4 linked regions of the Saccharomyces cerevisiae S288C genome follow. Changing the gene in region 2 together with the main gene of any one other region gives a genetic interaction. Each region holds a gene or a part of one and is shown on either strand. Other genes may lie near its edges.

The links.
Region 1: mutations in NMD3 (region 2) and DBP5 impair growth when combined (synthetic growth defect), as found in Saccharomyces cerevisiae (one study listed by BioGRID).
Region 3: of NMD3 (region 2) and RPL10, a mutation in one rescues a mutant of the other (synthetic rescue), as found in Saccharomyces cerevisiae (8 studies listed by BioGRID, with this or other methods).
Region 4: mutations in NMD3 (region 2) and MTR2 are lethal when combined (synthetic lethality), as found in Saccharomyces cerevisiae (one study listed by BioGRID).

What each region holds. Positions count from the first base shown.
Region 1 is NC_001147.6:413,959-419,428, reverse strand, and holds DBP5 (ATP-dependent RNA helicase DBP5), read left to right. Parts: upstream 1-3,521; coding exon 3,522-4,970; downstream 4,971-5,470. Other genes in the region: ssRNA exonuclease RAT1, read left to right, coding at 1-799; STD1 (Std1p), read left to right, coding at 1,748-3,082; TOM6 (Tom6p), read right to left, coding at 5,392-5,470. UniProt on the Saccharomyces cerevisiae protein: ATP-dependent RNA helicase associated with the nuclear pore complex and essential for mRNA export from the nucleus. May participate in a terminal step of mRNA export through the removal of proteins that accompany mRNA through the nucleopore complex.
Region 2 is NC_001140.6:442,206-446,640, reverse strand, and holds NMD3 (ribosome-binding protein NMD3), read right to left. Parts: upstream 2,814-4,435; coding exon 1,257-2,813; downstream 1-1,256. Other genes in the region: ATG7 (Atg7p), read right to left, coding at 1-928; ATP-dependent RNA helicase DBP8, read right to left, coding at 3,165-4,435. UniProt on the Saccharomyces cerevisiae protein: Acts as an adapter for the XPO1/CRM1-mediated export of the 60S ribosomal subunit. Unlikely to play a significant role in nonsense-mediated mRNA decay (NMD).
Region 3 is NC_001144.5:280,474-285,125, forward strand, and holds RPL10 (60S ribosomal protein uL16 RPL10), read left to right. Parts: upstream 1-2,453; coding exon 2,454-3,119; downstream 3,120-4,652. Other genes in the region: LAM6 (Lam6p), read left to right, coding at 1-470; RFU1 (Rfu1p), read right to left, coding at 546-1,148; BUD20 (Bud20p), read right to left, coding at 1,483-1,983; FMP25 (Fmp25p), read left to right, coding at 3,399-4,652.
Region 4 is NC_001143.9:91,610-95,888, reverse strand, and holds MTR2 (Mtr2p), read left to right. Parts: upstream 1-2,590; coding exon 2,591-3,145; downstream 3,146-4,279. Other genes in the region: DNA-binding transcription repressor ASH1, read right to left, coding at 1-1,390. UniProt on the Saccharomyces cerevisiae protein: Affects mRNA transport from the nucleus to the cytoplasm.

The sequences.
Region 1 (5,470 bases), on a different chromosome or scaffold from region 2:
CGATCAGGATAGACTGTTAACAGCTGTTCGTGCACAATATCCTTTACTTTCTGATGCTGAGAGGGCAAGAAATATTCGCGGAGAACCTGTTTTATTAATAAGTAACAAGAATGCTAATTATGAGAGGTTTTCGAAGAAATTATACTCAAAGGAAAACAACAACAACAATGTTGTTGTGAAGTTTCAACACTTCAAGAGTGGTTTAAGTGGTATTGTATCAAAGGACGTTGAAGGTTTCGAATTAAATGGGAAAATTGTATGTCCGATTCAAGGTGGGTCACTGCCAAATTTATCTACCACCTTGATTTTAAAGATGTCCTATAGATTAATTCCGTTGCCATCGAGAAATAAGTCTATTATACTGAACGGGTTCATTCCGTCAGAACCGGTACTAACAGCATATGACCTTGATTCCATAATGTACAAGTATAATAACCAAAATTACTCCCGTCGCTGGAACTTTGGTAATGATTTGAAGCAAAATATTGTTCCAGTAGGACCAAAGGGTATTACTCAGTACAAACCAAGAACTGGTGGCTATCGAGCATTCTTTTATTTTGCTGAGCTCAGTAGAAATAATGTCCAACCCGCCCACAACTATGGTAGGAATAGCTACAACAGTCAACCCGGCTTCAACAATAGCAGGTATGATGGTGGAAACAATAATTACAGACAAAATTCAAATTACAGGAACAATAACTATTCCGGAAATAGAAATAGTGGACAGTACAGCGGCAACAGCTACTCTCGGAATAACAAGCAAAGTCGGTATGACAATTCAAGAGCAAATAGGCGTTAGAACTACTCGTGCGCATTTTATTTTATGGTAAATTTAGGTTTTCGCAAATTTATAAAATCTTCATACAATTAAAAAAAAGCTCTTTTAAGATAATAGTGTCTGCTCTTACAAACGACGAACAGTAATATTTTATAACAAAAAATGGAACATATTAAGTTAAGAGAAAATCATGCTGAAGCATGAATATATGAATATACGTCCTCTTGTAAAATAGCGAAATCCTTGTAAGCCAATAGACCGAACTCTATTTTGATTTATACGCTTCGTGTATTTTTTCTTCCAGATCCAGGAGAAAAAGCATGGTCTGTTCTTCTTTTTTGAAAAGAGAGGCAGTCCACGGCGAAAGTTTCGAATACGGCACTACCTTTTTTTTCTAAGTTCCTAAACTTAAAATCAAATTTGGTCTTTGGTCTGTTATCATCCAGGGATGAATGCAACATATTGGGAAGTTCATGCTATACAACGCCAACCCCTTCGCTCAAGTCACGAAAGCACATCTTACACTTCCTCCTTGGCCAATATGCAAGCGTCCTCTTCAAAAAATCTTGCAACAAACAATCGGGTAATGTGGGATGTTGTGGAAAAATGAAATAAAGTTTTCAATAAATCCGACTGAGCTAAGCAGGAAAATTTTCGTACGCGGGTTTTTGTCCAATTTTTTCCCTTCCTTTTGAAAACACGGAAAATCTTTTAGCGAAGGCTGCTCTTAGTTCCATAACGGAAAAATTCCAGGAGTTATTAAAAGACAGAGTTATAGTTTAGTAAATTTTCTTTTGAGTTAACGAGAGAGGGACGTTTTCGAACTAAATAGAGGAGAAGAAAGGCTTCAAGAAATATCGTACCGTAGGAAACCAGTTTAATATATTAGAAGCTCTCATTTACCTATCATTTTCGTTACCATCGCGATTGTAGGAGGTTTTGCACTACTTAACAGACAAATAAAACGAGATGTTTGTTTCACCACCTCCAGCAACAGCGAGGAACCAAGTATTAGGGAAAAGAAAATCGAAAAGACATGACGAAAATCCAAAGAATGTTCAACCCAACGCTGACACAGAAATGACAAATAGCGTTCCTTCTATTGGATTCAACAGCAATCTTCCACATAATAACCAAGAAATAAACACACCAAATCACTATAATTTGAGTTCCAATTCAGGAAATGTTAGGAGCAACAACAATTTTGTTACTACACCACCAGAATATGCAGACAGGGCAAGAATAGAAATCATAAAAAGGTTATTGCCTACTGCAGGAACTAAACCTATGGAAGTGAACAGTAATACTGCAGAAAATGCAAATATCCAACACATAAATACCCCGGACAGTCAAAGTTTTGTTTCAGACCATTCATCTTCATACGAATCGAGTATATTTTCACAGCCATCTACTGCTCTTACGGACATCACCACAGGCAGCTCGTTAATTGATACAAAAACACCTAAGTTCGTCACAGAAGTAACACTTGAAGACGCTTTACCCAAAACATTCTATGATATGTATTCTCCCGAAGTTCTGATGTCTGATCCAGCAAATATACTTTATAACGGACGTCCTAAGTTTACAAAGCGCGAATTGCTGGACTGGGATCTAAACGATATACGATCCTTGTTAATTGTGGAACAATTAAGGCCAGAATGGGGTTCCCAGTTACCGACGGTAGTGACCTCCGGTATAAACTTACCGCAATTCAGACTACAATTACTTCCCCTAAGTTCCAGTGATGAGTTTATAATAGCGACATTGGTTAACTCAGACTTATACATAGAAGCAAATCTAGACCGCAATTTTAAGTTGACAAGCGCAAAATATACAGTTGCATCAGCAAGAAAAAGACATGAAGAAATGACTGGGTCAAAGGAACCCATTATGCGTCTATCAAAGCCTGAATGGAGAAATATAATTGAGAACTATTTATTAAATGTTGCCGTCGAGGCCCAATGCAGATATGACTTTAAACAAAAGCGCTCCGAATACAAGAGATGGAAATTACTAAATTCAAATTTGAAAAGGCCTGACATGCCGCCTCCAAGCCTCATACCGCATGGTTTTAAAATACATGACTGCACTAACTCTGGTAGTCTTTTAAAAAAGGCTTTAATGAAAAATTTGCAACTAAAAAATTATAAAAATGATGCTAAGACATTAGGTGCTGGTACACAGAAAAATGTCGTTAATAAGGTTTCTCTAACTTCAGAGGAGAGGGCTGCCATCTGGTTTCAATGCCAAACACAGGTTTATCAAAGGTTGGGGTTAGATTGGAAGCCTGATGGAATGTCCTAGTAAATTTTTACAACAACGCAAAAACGAAATACCCCACTATTTAACCACTTAACGACATTAATATTAATTACAAAAGTGTTTGATACACGTACTATTATAGATTTCGACGACCTTTAAGATTAAGTAATACCTTTAATAATTTTAATATATTTTAAGCCTACTGCTCTAAAATTGCCCAAAAAAAAAACCCAAAAAAATCAACATTTAAATATGATGATACTCCCATATATATCGTATTTAAAGAATAACTCTGCTGTTGTCTTGATTATTTGATTGTTACATTATTATCAACGCGGTATTACCCGTATGCAAATTTTTCAATCAAGCAAAGCATTGCAAAATTTGCATTACCTTTAAAACCAGTTGACCTTTATACACCATAAAATACTCGATCAGCAACCAAGAACATCTATAAAAATACTTACCACCTTAGATCGGAATGAGTGATACAAAGAGAGATCCGGCCGATTTACTAGCTTCTTTAAAGATTGATAATGAGAAAGAGGATACAAGTGAAGTTTCAACAAAAGAGACTGTTAAGTCCCAACCAGAAAAGACTGCTGATTCGATCAAGCCTGCAGAAAAATTAGTTCCAAAAGTTGAGGAAAAAAAAACAAAACAGGAGGATAGTAATTTAATCAGCTCAGAATATGAAGTTAAGGTCAAACTTGCTGATATCCAGGCTGACCCAAATTCTCCATTGTACAGTGCTAAATCTTTTGATGAATTAGGATTAGCACCAGAACTACTAAAGGGGATATATGCTATGAAATTTCAAAAACCATCCAAAATTCAAGAAAGGGCGCTGCCATTATTATTACATAATCCGCCTAGGAACATGATTGCTCAGTCTCAATCAGGTACAGGTAAAACTGCCGCCTTTTCTTTAACGATGCTAACAAGAGTAAACCCAGAAGACGCATCTCCACAGGCAATTTGCTTAGCCCCCTCCAGAGAACTGGCCAGACAAACACTAGAAGTCGTTCAGGAAATGGGTAAGTTCACAAAAATAACCAGTCAGTTAATTGTTCCCGATTCTTTTGAGAAAAACAAGCAAATTAATGCTCAAGTGATTGTTGGTACGCCGGGCACTGTTCTTGACCTAATGCGTAGAAAATTGATGCAGCTACAGAAAATTAAAATTTTTGTTTTGGATGAAGCCGATAACATGTTGGATCAGCAGGGTCTAGGTGACCAGTGTATTCGTGTTAAGAGATTTTTACCCAAGGATACTCAACTTGTTTTGTTTAGTGCTACTTTTGCCGATGCAGTTAGGCAGTACGCAAAGAAGATCGTTCCAAATGCTAATACTTTAGAATTACAAACAAATGAAGTTAATGTTGATGCCATCAAACAACTATACATGGACTGCAAAAACGAAGCAGATAAGTTTGATGTTTTAACTGAGCTATATGGTTTAATGACAATTGGATCTTCCATTATTTTTGTTGCAACCAAAAAAACCGCAAACGTTTTATATGGGAAATTGAAAAGTGAAGGTCATGAAGTTTCTATCTTGCATGGTGATTTACAGACACAAGAAAGAGACAGATTAATAGACGACTTCAGAGAGGGTAGATCCAAAGTTTTGATTACTACTAATGTCCTGGCCCGTGGTATTGATATTCCTACTGTCTCAATGGTTGTCAACTATGATCTTCCAACGCTTGCTAACGGACAAGCAGATCCAGCTACTTACATTCACAGAATCGGTAGAACCGGTAGATTCGGCAGAAAAGGTGTTGCCATTTCCTTTGTACATGACAAAAATTCTTTCAATATTTTATCTGCAATTCAGAAATACTTCGGTGATATAGAAATGACTCGTGTTCCAACGGATGATTGGGATGAAGTCGAAAAAATAGTTAAGAAAGTGTTAAAGGATTAGAATTCAGTACATAATACCTCAAAATACGTAAAAGCTTTAATCTAATTTCATACACCAATGAATATATTATTACGACATCAATGGGTCCCATTTGTTTCTTCTCAGTTTGTTGATCCACTTTTACTTGTGAGGCAAGCTTATATAAATACAAACACAGCATATACCTTGTGATTTCGATACCTTTGTCACTCTCTTTTGTCACGGCTTTCCGGTGAACAGTAAACAGCCCGTATACAAAAGGCTTGCGTTAAAAGGAATACTAAATGTAAAGCATACTTGCTTTTTTTCCATTATATACACTGCTAACTCTACATAATTCGGGAATAAAATATAAACATATTTGACAAATTCTTTTGAGAACCCAAAAACCAATATATATACAGGTAAGTGAAAAAATCTCAACTATACAAGAACCAACCCCTTATAATTGTGGGGCCAACATGTCCATGAGTGGAGATTGAATAAACGCAACACCTGCAACGAAGAAGGCACCGTTTAGT
Region 2 (4,435 bases):
TCATTAGCTTCAAATTTAAATCCACGGATTGGTCAGCAATTTTTAAAGGATCTAACAATGAACTTAAATCAACAACACGTGGTGCTAGCTTACCTTGCACATTCCTTTCCCATCCAGAAACTTTCATATCTGGGTTACTTGAGGATGATTGTGGGTCAATAGAAGCAAATGTAGCATTTAATGCAAAGCTACCTTCGTTCTGTCTAATAATTAATAGTTTGAAATCTATCAAGTCAGGAACATCGTATTGCAACACGCTGAGAAAATTTTTGGTTAGAGCAGAAGGGACGTTTTCCATCGTACTAGTGTCCCTTATCGCCAAAACTTTAGTTTTTCGAATAATACACTTGTCATAATTTACTATTTCATCGTCTGCATCCAGTATACACACCCATTTTGAGTAATTGACATCAAACCATTTTTGACACTTTGAGAACAGCCCTTTTAAACTCGGCTCTGGCCGCACATGTAAAACTGTTGAAGAGGGTCTTTGAAAACAGGGAACACCTAACCAGTAATAAAACCTGTACTTTTTTAGGTCAGCAAAACTAATAATCACAAAAGAAACACACTTATTGATATCCTTTATTCCATCTTCCCAGCATTCCAATGCTCTTTGATGTAAAAATAGTTGCTTATCAAGATTCTTAAACTCGTCTAATACATTAAAATTGAAAATACTGCCCTGTAAAGGCACTTCATTAGTACGCTTATTATTGTGTTTTTCAAAGCTTCTATTTGTTAAGAATAATGGAACTTGATCAGCAGATTTAGGAATGTTGTGTAAATCTAGATTCACAGTAAGTGGTTGGCATGTTGAATCTAATTTCAGAACATCGAGTTTCAATCTCGATAATTCTTGGAAAAAAGATGTATCCAGAAATGATTTAAAAGCTGGTGCATAACTTAAGACCCTTTCTGACGACATTTTATTCTTGATTATCTTATATTTGTTGAAATATAATGAACTTTAGTTATCTAAGTAGCATCGTAAAATAATGAGTTCCCTTAATTTTTTTGTTTTGCCGTGCCGGAAAGGGTGTCCAAAGGAATCTCATGGATTAAAAAAGCGGAAGTTTAAAAATCTTGCGTAAGAGCTCTACAAATGAAAAATCTTGCTTGCCTATCTAGTTTTCAACATGTGGTGGCTTGTTCTTCCATAAAGTACATTTTACATCCATATATATGTATATAGATAAACTGAAATGCTAGTGTTTGTTAAGAGTATATACTACTCTCCATTCTTTGGTGTTTTTTTACTGCTGAGATTCAACGGGTGTGTTCTCGACTCCATCTTCTAATGTCATTTCATCTAACTCGTCCAATAATTCATCAATGTTGATTTGTGGAGCGTCTTCATCCTCGTCTTCATCCATTTCATGCTCTTCAGGAGGTACATTTGCTTCGCGGTTTTTGTATAGGTTAACACTTTGTCTTAATTCAGCATCCTCTTCTAATTCTTGTAAGAATAATTCGTAGTCCTTTTCTGCACGTTCCATTTCTTGCTTTTGAGCTCTTGAATTGTAATCTAAGGATGCATCGATATCTTTGTGTTCCTTAGCCATTCTCTTTAACTTCCAGTGTCTGCTCTTTTTGCTCTTTCTTTGATACAATTTCTTCACAAGAACTACATCAGGCACATAATCGATATTTAACCCATCAAAAAGATCTGAGTTGTAATTCGAGTTTGCAATGAAATAACCCATAACACTATCACCTGCATGGCAAATACCACCGAGATGAGACCTGACGTAGTAGACTTGGTCATTAACACCCAAGTCAGACGTTCTAGCAACAGTAATGTCAGCTAAGACACGATTTCCCCTGCTTATACCTGTAGAATCCACGTCCAGAACAATGAACTCCACCAACTGGGTCACATCAGCCAGGGCGTTGAATGGAGCCCTCCAGTACACAGATGGTGACAGATCCGCGGTTTGCAAAGTAGTCGGATCCATAAACTGGACAGTGTTAGAAATCTTAGAACATAGAACAAATTGAGAAATGTTACCCATAGATTTAGCCAGTTTTTTTGGTAAAACGACCAAGTCATCTTTACAGATAGGAACAATCTCGACAGAATATGAAAATTTATAAGTAGATGCACCAGTATGTGTATCTTGAGAAATAAGTTCTTCAGACTTTTTATGTTTAATCGGAACAACAGCGTTCAAAAAATCAATCATCTTAACTGCGTGGTTTTTTTGCGCATAGAAGAAATCCAACCCGTCCTTAGCTTCACTAATGGAAATGGTATCCACATGAGCATTATGTTTCAAAATCAGTTGTTCCAAAAACAAAAATGTTCTCTTGTGAGGCACTTTTTGTCTAATTTGGACAGTAGCCCTCCAAGTATTTGTAGTGTAGGATCTGGCACAGTCTGGACATTGCATCGCAATAACAATGTATTCTACTTCGAAAGTTTGCTGAATAATAGTATTTGTCATGGCTTCTCCCTGCACGGTAAGTTTAATTCTAATACGTCTAGAATGGGGTTCTGTCCAAATGAATGAAGCATCCACTAATCTGACTTTTGTTAGGCCCTTCAAACGACGCAAACAAATGGCCAGTAATTCTCTAGATTCTAATTCTGCTCTGATCCATTGTCCAGGTGGTTGCAAAAATCTTTCACAGTTTCTGCAAAATGAAATGTTCGCTTCTCTTGGAATACCTTGAGTAATGTCCACAGTCAGTTTGATACAGTCATAACACATAACCAGCCCAGTGGACCCATCGATTGGGGTACCACAGTTACAACATAGAAGAGTAGCAGCATTTTGGTGCTGGTGCGGATCTATAGGTGTGAATTCCATCCTTTTGTCAAATTCCTCAACGTTTATTAGACAATAAAATGTAGTGTTATGTACCAGGCGACAAATAAAAGATAAAGCCAAGGTTCCTCAAAACATAGTTAAATCATCACAACTGCTAGTAATTTTTCTTTTCCAATGCGATGAGCTTCAAAAAATTTTCCAACTACAAGAGAAAAAGAAAAAAAAATAAGTTACCCGTCGGTGATTGTACGTAATTGAATTTACAGCGATTTTCTCACCCGTTATATAGAAACATACTTCATATGTGCCAAAATTGTATCTATCAGTTGTCCTGGAAAACAGTATCCAGATTGTACGATATGTACGTCTTTAAATCTTATTTAGAATTTTTCAAGAGCGCAAACTTTTCCCGTCATTTTGCTTCTTCTTTTGCTGTCTTTTTCTCTCACCGAAGTTTTCCTTTTGCATTGCCATCAGCGATTCCCTCTTCGCCTTGGTTACCTTGGTCAAGGCTTTTCTTATTACAGCGGTATCGTGTACCTTGTTTGTCTCTGTCATCTTCTTGTTGATACGGTCCTCAATGGCCTGTATCCTAGAAACATCTCGCTGGGTAACGAATGATATGGCGTCACCAATTCTGCCAGCACGGGCCGTACGACCAGATCTATGGATGAATACATCTGGGTCTGAAGGTATATCGTAATTCACTACAAGCTCAACAGTTGGGATATCCAAACCTCTGGATGCTACATCTGTAGCGATGAGGATTCTTGCAGCGTTAGCTCGAAATCTATGTAAGGAATTTGTTCTTTCCTGTTGGGGCATTTGAGAGTGCAACGACGCTACCCTCACTTCCAACTGCTTCAGGGTTCTTCTAAGGATCTCCGCGGTCATTGTTCTATTTACAAATATTATAGCGGTTTTATTCTCATATTCCTCGCATGTTAATAATTGGTACAAATATGCTTCTTTGACGTGTTCTGGAACCAAGATATACTCTATTTTCAACGTCGATGGAATAGCCACATTATCTACACTTTCTACTTGGTAAGCGAACAATGGGGGTTTCCCTTTCTGCACTGGTGCATTTTGTAACGACTTTACTTGGTCCGTTATAGTTGCAGTGAATAGAAGTGTTTGTCTCTTATCCTTGGGAGGTAGAGCACTTATACATGTTGCTAAATGATCGGCAAACGTGCTAGTTAGCAAAATATCGGCTTCATCTAGAACTAAATATTTAGCTCTCATTAGCCCTCCAACGGTATCATCTCCGCTGCTCATGATATGATGTGCCAGACGTCCAGGCGTGGCAATAATAAAGTGCGGCTTCCTTTGTAAATCCAATGCCTGCTGAACGATGCTTTCACCACCAACTATAACTGACACGCGAATGTTCATACTGCTACCAAGTGCAGTAAATTGTTCGGCAATTTGCATGGCTAACTCTCTGGTTGGGGTCAAGACCACTCCAAACATCCCTGACGGATCTTCGGACCATTTAGTCAGCATAGGCCCTGCAAATGCAATAGTTTTACCAGAACCAGTCTTGGCACCACCAATACAATCTCTTCCTTCTAAGATTTTGGGAATACAAGCCTTTTGGATAGCGGTTGGCTGAGTAATTTTCATAGCTCTTAAGGATTCCGTAAGCCATTTTGAAA
Region 3 (4,652 bases), on a different chromosome or scaffold from region 2:
ACTGGAACGCATCCAGTTGGATCAAGCCAATGGTAGAGAGCAATTGTAAAAATGGACAAATTAGCGCCACTAAGGACTTGGTAAAGTTAGTCGAAGAATTTGTAGAGAAATACGTGGAATTGAGCAAAGAAAAAGCAGATACACTCAAGCCGTTGCCCAGTGTTACATCTTTTGGATCACCTAGGAAAGTGGCAGCACCGGAGCTGACGATGGTACAGCCGGAGTCGAAACCAGAAGCTGAGGCGGAAATCTCAGAAATAGGCAGCGACAGATGGAGGTTTAACTGGGTGAACATAATAATCTTGGTGCTCTTGGTGTTAAATCTGCTGTATTTAATGAAGTTGAACAAGAAGATGGATAAGCTGACGAACCTCATGACCCACAAGGACGAAGTTGTAGCGCACGCGACTCTATTGGACATACCAGCCAAAGTACAATGGTCAAGACCAAGAAGGGGAGACGTGTTGTAACAGAGTAATCATGTAATATTGTATGTAAGGTTATGTATGTTCGTATGGTATGGAAAAAAAAAAAAAAAAAGGATGCTATGTGGAGAATGTAAGGCGTGGTAGCTCCGGATAATTCAGTCTGTAGGCTTCATCACGGGCAGTGGCCTGACTCTGAGAGCTTGCTCCGGTATTAAGTTGTGCGTTTGAAATTTTCTGGAAAAAAGAAATTGATTGGTTGAAGCTATACTCGTCGAAAGATTTCTTCGGCAGTGGTTGTTGCTCCACCTGCACGGGAGTTGTGTTTGCGTTTATGTTCGGCTTGGCTATATTATTAGCGAGTGATGTTTGCAATTTGCTGTATTGAGAATCAATTTGGGTGCGTAAGCTTTCAATAATTTTGCAGACCGCAGGCACTTCCAACTTTATGAGTTGCAGGTATTCTCTTTTATGAATATACGATGACGACGATGACGACGACGCATCCATGCGCAAAAGCTCAGGGTGTCTAGATAGTTTGTTAGTCAATAAATCCACATATCTAAAATAATAAATAAACGACAGCGACAAGTCGTTGGCCTGGAACGCACACTGTGCCTTTTCCAATATGCCGATGCATGTTTTCAGGTAAATTCTCAATGGTATCGCCGGATTGAAGCGATAATCCTTAGCGTCCTGAACCAATTGCTTACTAGACTTCATGACCTACCGGGGCCAGATAAAGATGCGGAAGGAAGAGAAAAAATGTATAGTGGTTGGTGAACCGCAACAATAATTCGTGCCAACACTTTAATCGAAGCAAAAATTGTCTTGTATGTTATTAATATTATCTATCTAACCATTGATTTACGTATAAAACTGTCGATGCTCATCGCCTAGCAATGAAAAAATTTTTTCTTTTTTTTTTCATTATTTCTCTTTGTTGCGTACTTTTTTTCATTGCGTTTCGCGGCAAAAGCGATTCGAGTTGACTGGAAGTGTGTTATACTATAAAAAGTGTATATGCCTATTTTTGGTTCTGATCTTTACTTTACTGTTAAGTACTGGCTGAGGCAGTAGACTCTGCCTCTGTTACGGCAGCGGTATTCGCCTCGGCATCAGCAGCCGCCCACGGTAGAGTAGGTTCTGTTGTTTTGACGTTTGCCAAGGTACTGTCCAAATGCTCCTTCAGCAAGGCCTCATTACTTTCCTTCTCCGGACCCACCGATTGCGTGATCTCCTGTACACGGTTCAAGAACTTGTTCAAATTGTAGCCCGCAGCAGCATCAGAGACTTCTTGTGTGTAAGGGACACCCCTCAACTCCTTGACTCTTCTTTTGTGCACTTTGCCCTTTAAATGCGTTTTTAACGCTATAGCAGTCTCCATGTATTTGGCACAGTGTATGCAATAGTGCTGACCAAGGCCCGGTTTGGTTTCATCCAATGGCTGGTTCAGAAGCTTCTGTACTGATTCCTTGGTGGACAAATCGTTATAGATCAGGTCCAAGTCTCGTGTTCTTCTTTTAGTCTTGTATCTCTTCACCGAATATCTACCCATGATGCGCTATTGTTTTATCTTCACTTGTCTGTGTGTTTAACTGCCTTTCAATTCACCTCATCTCATCTCCCGCTACTTTCCATATATAAAAGCAAAATTAATTTGCTTTTTCCCCTGTCAGTATAAAAAAATTTTCCGCAGGATATAGAAAAAAAAGAAATGAAATTATAGTAGCGGTTATTTCCGTGGGGTGCTTTTTTACACCTGTACATCTTTTCCCTCCGTACATTTTTTTTATTTTTTTTTTTGGTTTTTTTTTTTCGATATTTTTCCCTCCGAAACTAGTTAGCACAATAATGCTGACTAAGGAAACTTTTCATCTCAGAATTGATGGTCAGTTTGGTTTCTCTAGAGAATAGTTTATAAAAAGATGTTGATGTGGAGCAACCATTTATACATCCTTTCCGCAAGTGCTTTTGGAGTGGGACTTTCAAACTTTAAAGTACAGTATATCAAATAACTAATTCAAGATGGCTAGAAGACCAGCTAGATGTTACAGATACCAAAAGAACAAGCCTTACCCAAAGTCTAGATACAACAGAGCTGTTCCAGACTCCAAGATCAGAATCTACGATTTGGGTAAGAAGAAGGCTACCGTCGATGAATTCCCATTGTGTGTCCATTTGGTTTCCAACGAATTGGAACAATTGTCTTCTGAAGCTTTGGAAGCTGCTCGTATCTGTGCCAACAAGTACATGACTACTGTCTCCGGTAGAGATGCTTTCCACTTAAGAGTCAGAGTCCATCCTTTCCATGTCTTGAGAATCAACAAGATGTTGTCTTGTGCCGGTGCGGATAGATTGCAACAAGGTATGAGAGGTGCTTGGGGTAAGCCACACGGTTTGGCCGCTCGTGTCGACATTGGTCAAATTATCTTCTCTGTCAGAACCAAGGACAGCAACAAGGATGTTGTCGTTGAAGGTTTGAGAAGAGCCAGATACAAGTTCCCAGGTCAACAAAAGATTATTTTGTCTAAGAAGTGGGGTTTCACCAACTTGGACAGACCAGAATACTTGAAGAAGAGAGAAGCTGGTGAAGTCAAGGACGACGGTGCTTTCGTTAAGTTCTTGTCCAAGAAGGGTTCTTTGGAAAACAACATCAGAGAATTCCCAGAATACTTTGCTGCTCAAGCTTAAGTTCTTTTCAAACATTTGAACTAACTTAAAAGAGAAATTTTTTTGATTTAAATTCTAGTTTATTAAACAGTAAATATATTTATACATTATTGTAATACATATAATTATGTGTTTTTTTAAAGTTCAGCATGTTGGGTAGTGATATATCCTGAAGTCAATGGACACTGTTGCTTTTTGTATACCAGCAGGAAAAAAAAAAGCCTGAGCTGCAGTAACGAAGAATTGTTGAATGCGTCTAACAAGAAAGGGAGCAATCGATAACAGGGACGTGCGCCGCTAATGTCATTCAGATTATTCACGAGGACTTCTCAACGTCTCCCTCGCCTTAACTGGGTTAGTCCCATCAGGCGATACGCCAAACAACCTCAATACGATGAAGCAGAGTTGTTTGCAGAGAACATTAACCATGGCGCATATAAAGCAAAGAAAAGGCCATCAGACGAGCATTTCCAATGGCCTGAGAAGTCTCCTGATCAGATCACAAAGGAATCTGAACTCCAATGGGAAAGGATGGCGAAATTATCTGCTGTTGGGCAAGGGATCCTCATTCTCGTGGTAGTGGGTGGGTTGGGAACGGCCTACTTGCGTTGGCCAGAATTAAAATCCTGGTGGTTAATCAAGATGAATGGCGGTCGCATAAATGCAACGCAAGAGCAAAGTGGACAGGATTCGTTGGAAAAATTGATCAGACAAAAGGCCAAAAATCTATTAAGGGAGATTCCTCAAGTGCCTGCCTTTCAACTTGGAATAGATCATCCTGGTGTATACATATGGGGAAGGTGTCATTCTAAGGACTCATTGTTCCCTGTTAGAGTACCTAATTTGGATGGTCGTAAATTCAGAGATATCCTATTAGCTCCCTCTGACGATTTCAACACCAATTTTGCAATTGACGAGAAAGGCGATTTGATATCGTGGGATGATTTGGGACAAACAAAAACGATATTGCCAGATCAAGATTTGACCTCAATGAAGTATTCTAGTCACTTTTTGTACGCTTTGAATAAAAAGGGTGAAATATTGGTCATACCTATAAGAACGCCGGATCTGATAGCTTCGCAAGTATCATCAAGAAGGTCGAAATTGTTGCCATGGAAGACAAAACTAAGATATGATTGGAAATTACAAACAAATCAGATTTTCAACGGTAAGGAAGGAGAAAAACGTGTAGTACAATTTGACGCTGGTAGCCATCATCTGGTGTTGCTATCTAATTTAGGTAAGGCTTATTGCTGCGCGACGGGAAATGATCAAAAACAAGCTCAAGTATCCAAAGGACAATTCGGTATACCAACATTCTCACAATTCGATGAGTTTCCTCCCAATAATCAACTATTCGAAATTGAACTGCTGAACAAATTTAAGCATGAAGGAGAAGACGTTGTCCGCAAAAGAGAAATTAAAAAGATAGCTTGCGGGTCGTACCATACACTGGCAATAGATAAGACTGGTGAAATTTATGCCTTTGGCTGGAATAGGTTCGGCCAATTGGCACTACCTATTTCGTACAATCTAGAATATGTTTCTTTCCCA
Region 4 (4,279 bases), on a different chromosome or scaffold from region 2:
CGAGAGCAAATCTATGATAATTGGGTGACCTTGGGCTTGGAGTGTATGCCTTGGGACGCACAGGTGAGGATGATCTTGATCTCATCTTGCCACTTTTCGTCGGTGTGGAGGGAGATGGAGATGAAGATGCAGAGACAGAACTGTAACTAGCGTTGTCGAGTTTCATCACCAATTGTCTTGCAGTGTTACCGAAAACATTTGATGCTTGCTTTGAGATTTTGTTCTTAGATGGTTTCCTTACATTAGATTTGGAATTGTTCGATAGAATGTCTCTATTCGCAAGCAATTTTTTTATTTGCAAAGCTTTGAAACTGTTCGTCTTTTTGTGACTGGCATTTGGCATGGGAAATGAATTTCCACGTAATTGTCTTTGATGTTTAACTTCTTGAACCAATTTTTCACTAATAATTGGATTGAATATTGAATCGTTATTGCTGGATTTCCCCTCAAAAAAAGAGGCCTCTACTCCTCTAAGCGTCGTGCGCTCCATGGTTCTATTGGTTGGTGGACTCATCGGCGGTGTGACGGGAGGAGTAATACTCCATGCATTGTTGGAAAGATCTTTAAATTGATCTTTAGCTTCTAGAATCGAAGGAATTAGTTTGGTACGATCAAATGATTCCTTAGACGGGGAATGGAACTTGGACGACCTAGTCGATTCCAATTCCTTGCCGTAATTGAAACTATCATTATTTTGATTATTAGTTAAGTTGGGTATACTTAATGGCTTGAAATGAGCCACTTCTTCGCGTATTTTAACATAGTCTTGATAGTTTGTATCCTTACACCAATGGGTAAGATCAGTTTTCCAATTAGATGTACGTTTTGATGTATCAGGGAAGCGTGCTGCGTTTTCTTGTAAAAGAGGACTGGGTAATAATTGCAGATGCCTTAGTGATGGTAGGCTTTGTTGTGGGCGCTCCGGTCTCTTAGATAAAGAGACGGACGATAGCCTGTCTAACAATGGTAGTCGAGGTTGTGAATTAGAGGAAAAACCTAAGCCAGACCCATAGTTCAATGGATTTGTAAAACTAATCTGAGATAAGCTTGCCTTGTTGAATTCTGGTGAATTGCCTGGTGTTAATGAGGAAATTGGATTGTAATCCATATGATGTGGCGATGCTGGTGCAGTATTTGATTTTTTTCCAAGTATTTCGTTAGCCAAAGATATTGGGGAAAGAATTGGCGACACATTGAGCGAATGAAACGAATACTTCCTAGGACTTGCTGAATTTATATTGTTATCGGTTGTGATATTGTTCCTGCTGATATTACTGGATAAATTGGAAAATGAAGGCAATAAAAGATTGTCATAATAGGAGCTATTTGCATGAGAATCCGGACCAGCAGATAATGCATGCAGTGGTGTTTTGATGTATAAGCTTGACATTTTTTTGCTTTTCCCGTTATGAGAAATGTTTTTTTTAGACTGAAAATAAAAGAATGGATAGTATTAAAATAGTAATGAACGTAATAAGGATAGGACAGGAGCGATAGGAAAAGATAGAATTTTGGAGCTTTTTTTCCCTCTTTTTTTGAGCAGGAGCCAATAGTAGTCGGAAAGATGAGTGTATAGATTTTTCGTATTTTATTTCGAGTAAAAATATCACGCTCTTAGGTTCAATAAAAGAATATACTATTTCTTCAAAATGCTTCTCTAATCTATTTTTTTATTTTCCTTAATAACTGAAATATTATTTTTTGATGTAAAATGAGTGAACAAGAATAAAGGATTTTTGGTATGTTTGCAAGTTCTGTGGAGTTCCATGTATAAGGTATACATATTAGAAAAGCTTTACGATTATATACTAACATCATGTACAAAACAGTTTAATAATGATCTGTATTGCTGGCTCAATCCACGTAAGGAAAATGATCAGCCCAATCCTCAAAAATAAAATGGCCCTTCCAAAATTAGAGACATATCGTAGAAATCAGACGCACGCTTGGCGTCAATATCCTAAAACGGAAAACTAATCAGTTAGATGTGTCTTTTTTAGGTAAAAAAAGGCAACCAACTTTTTGCTGGCTAGCGATGCGACAATAAACGCGCGCAGCGAATAAAAATAAGATGGCGGAGGAGCAGAGACTTCTTTTCTTAGAAGAGGTTTTGTTACCGTATGGGGGTATGATGGTTAGATGGCTGAATAAAAACGTTAATTAAAGGAATACAGAAGAGGAAGCGCCCCGATTTCTTTTCTGTTCCACATGAAAGCAGCCGGTTGGGTGGTAGATCTCTAATGACATCCAAACTACAAAACCGAGATTGGACATATAGCACACTCTGCATTTCTACTTTCCTTTCTCCCTACAGTTTGCTCGATCTGAACCGATGCTTCTTTGATTGGACAAGATGATAGACCATGACTCCCTGTATGTATTGCAGAGATTGCCACTACTAACCAAGAAAAGTTGAACGTGTCGTACGTATAAAACGATTTATGCTTAGGCTTTACTGAAAAAAAAAAAGTAAAAAGAGGATGCGCAAACGCATAGAGCAAGTAACTAACCTGTTTTTATAGTATATACTTGGCCCCACCAGGCTGATCGTCAGGCAAAACGCCAAACTAATAACAGTAATAACAGAAATATGAACACCAATAGTAATACTATGGTAATGAATGACGCAAATCAAGCACAAATAACGGCCACATTTACGAAGAAGATATTAGCGCATTTGGATGATCCGGACTCCAACAAATTGGCCCAATTCGTACAGCTTTTTAATCCAAACAACTGCAGAATAATATTTAATGCTACCCCCTTCGCGCAAGCAACAGTTTTTCTGCAAATGTGGCAAAACCAGGTCGTACAAACACAACATGCCCTAACAGGAGTAGACTATCACGCTATTCCGGGATCCGGCACGTTGATATGCAACGTCAATTGCAAAGTCAGATTCGACGAAAGCGGCAGAGACAAGATGGGGCAAGACGCGACTGTTCCCATTCAACCAAATAACACTGGGAACAGAAATCGACCCAACGATATGAACAAGCCAAGACCTCTATGGGGTCCATATTTTGGCATTTCCCTGCAGCTGATCATCGACGACCGCATATTTAGAAATGATTTTAATGGTGTAATATCGGGGTTTAACTATAACATGGTTTACAAACCCGAGGATTCTCTGCTAAAAATTTAGTGGGAAGATTCCGCTCTACCAGGGAAAAACAAAATTATATAGAAAAGAAGGTAAGTAATAAGTAATACGAAAAAACCCAAAAAAAAAATTCAAATACCCCAACCCTGTGCCCTTTCTATTTTTATGGTTGAAAAGGTTACAGAGGATCCTCTGGAGCGGTGACAACAGTTGACGCAATCATGGTCCCTGGCGGTCCCTAAGGATATCTCGGAGGAACCGAGGCACGGAAACGGCTGCACGGGTACGCCAGATAAGGATAATTCAGCCGTCACGCATGAACAGAAGGATGAGCATTTGCTCACCTTCCTGGACTTAACTTGCGTGAATGAAAAGAAGAACACCAATGTTAGAGTAGGGCTTCGCACCAAACTTTAATCAAGAAATCTGAGGAGAAATGATTCTAAGTCTAGCCACGAAAACTGCAAAGCGCACCAAAAGTAAGAAACGACAAAGTTTTTCTAGCATTTTTTTGTTTCATCAAGAGAAGAAACACGATTTATATAACTGTTACCGCTAAAACCTACATCTAAACTTTTTAATATCTGAAAGCGCTAGTCGTGTGTACCCCCCTCAACTGATCAACTGGTCAACGAGCTTTACTTGTGGAAGTTCATGGCAAACGCTCCTTGGCTTTTGCCTAGTCTTGTTCTATGGCACATTTTTCTGTTGAGTTACACCCCGCGTGCTAAAAAAGGGGTGAACCATCAGAAAGCTTATTACTGAGTTTTGCGGAGCATCGCTCGGAGCGGCGGAATTGAATCGAACCGCCGTGCTATTACCGAACAAAAAAATTCGAAAGCATAAACTCAGTAGTGAAAAACTTGAGAATTTTCAGATGAGTGGCGACTTTCCAGTCCTTGCGGTTTTGTCACCTTAGTCAGCTAGTAAGGAGGCCGTGTGGGTTAGAGTGGCTACAATCCTCAAAGGGCACTTCTAGAACCCACGGTGAATTTTTTTTGGCATGATAAATCGGTAGAATCGGTGAAGTAATTACCCAAAAAAGGATCGGGATTGTGTTTCTCGTAATTCCGTATTATTGCCGATGGCATCGACTACTTCTTTTTTCAGAAACCCCAACAAGGGTCTATTGTAATTGTATATAAACCTTTTTGTAATGGATATATACATGTGGTA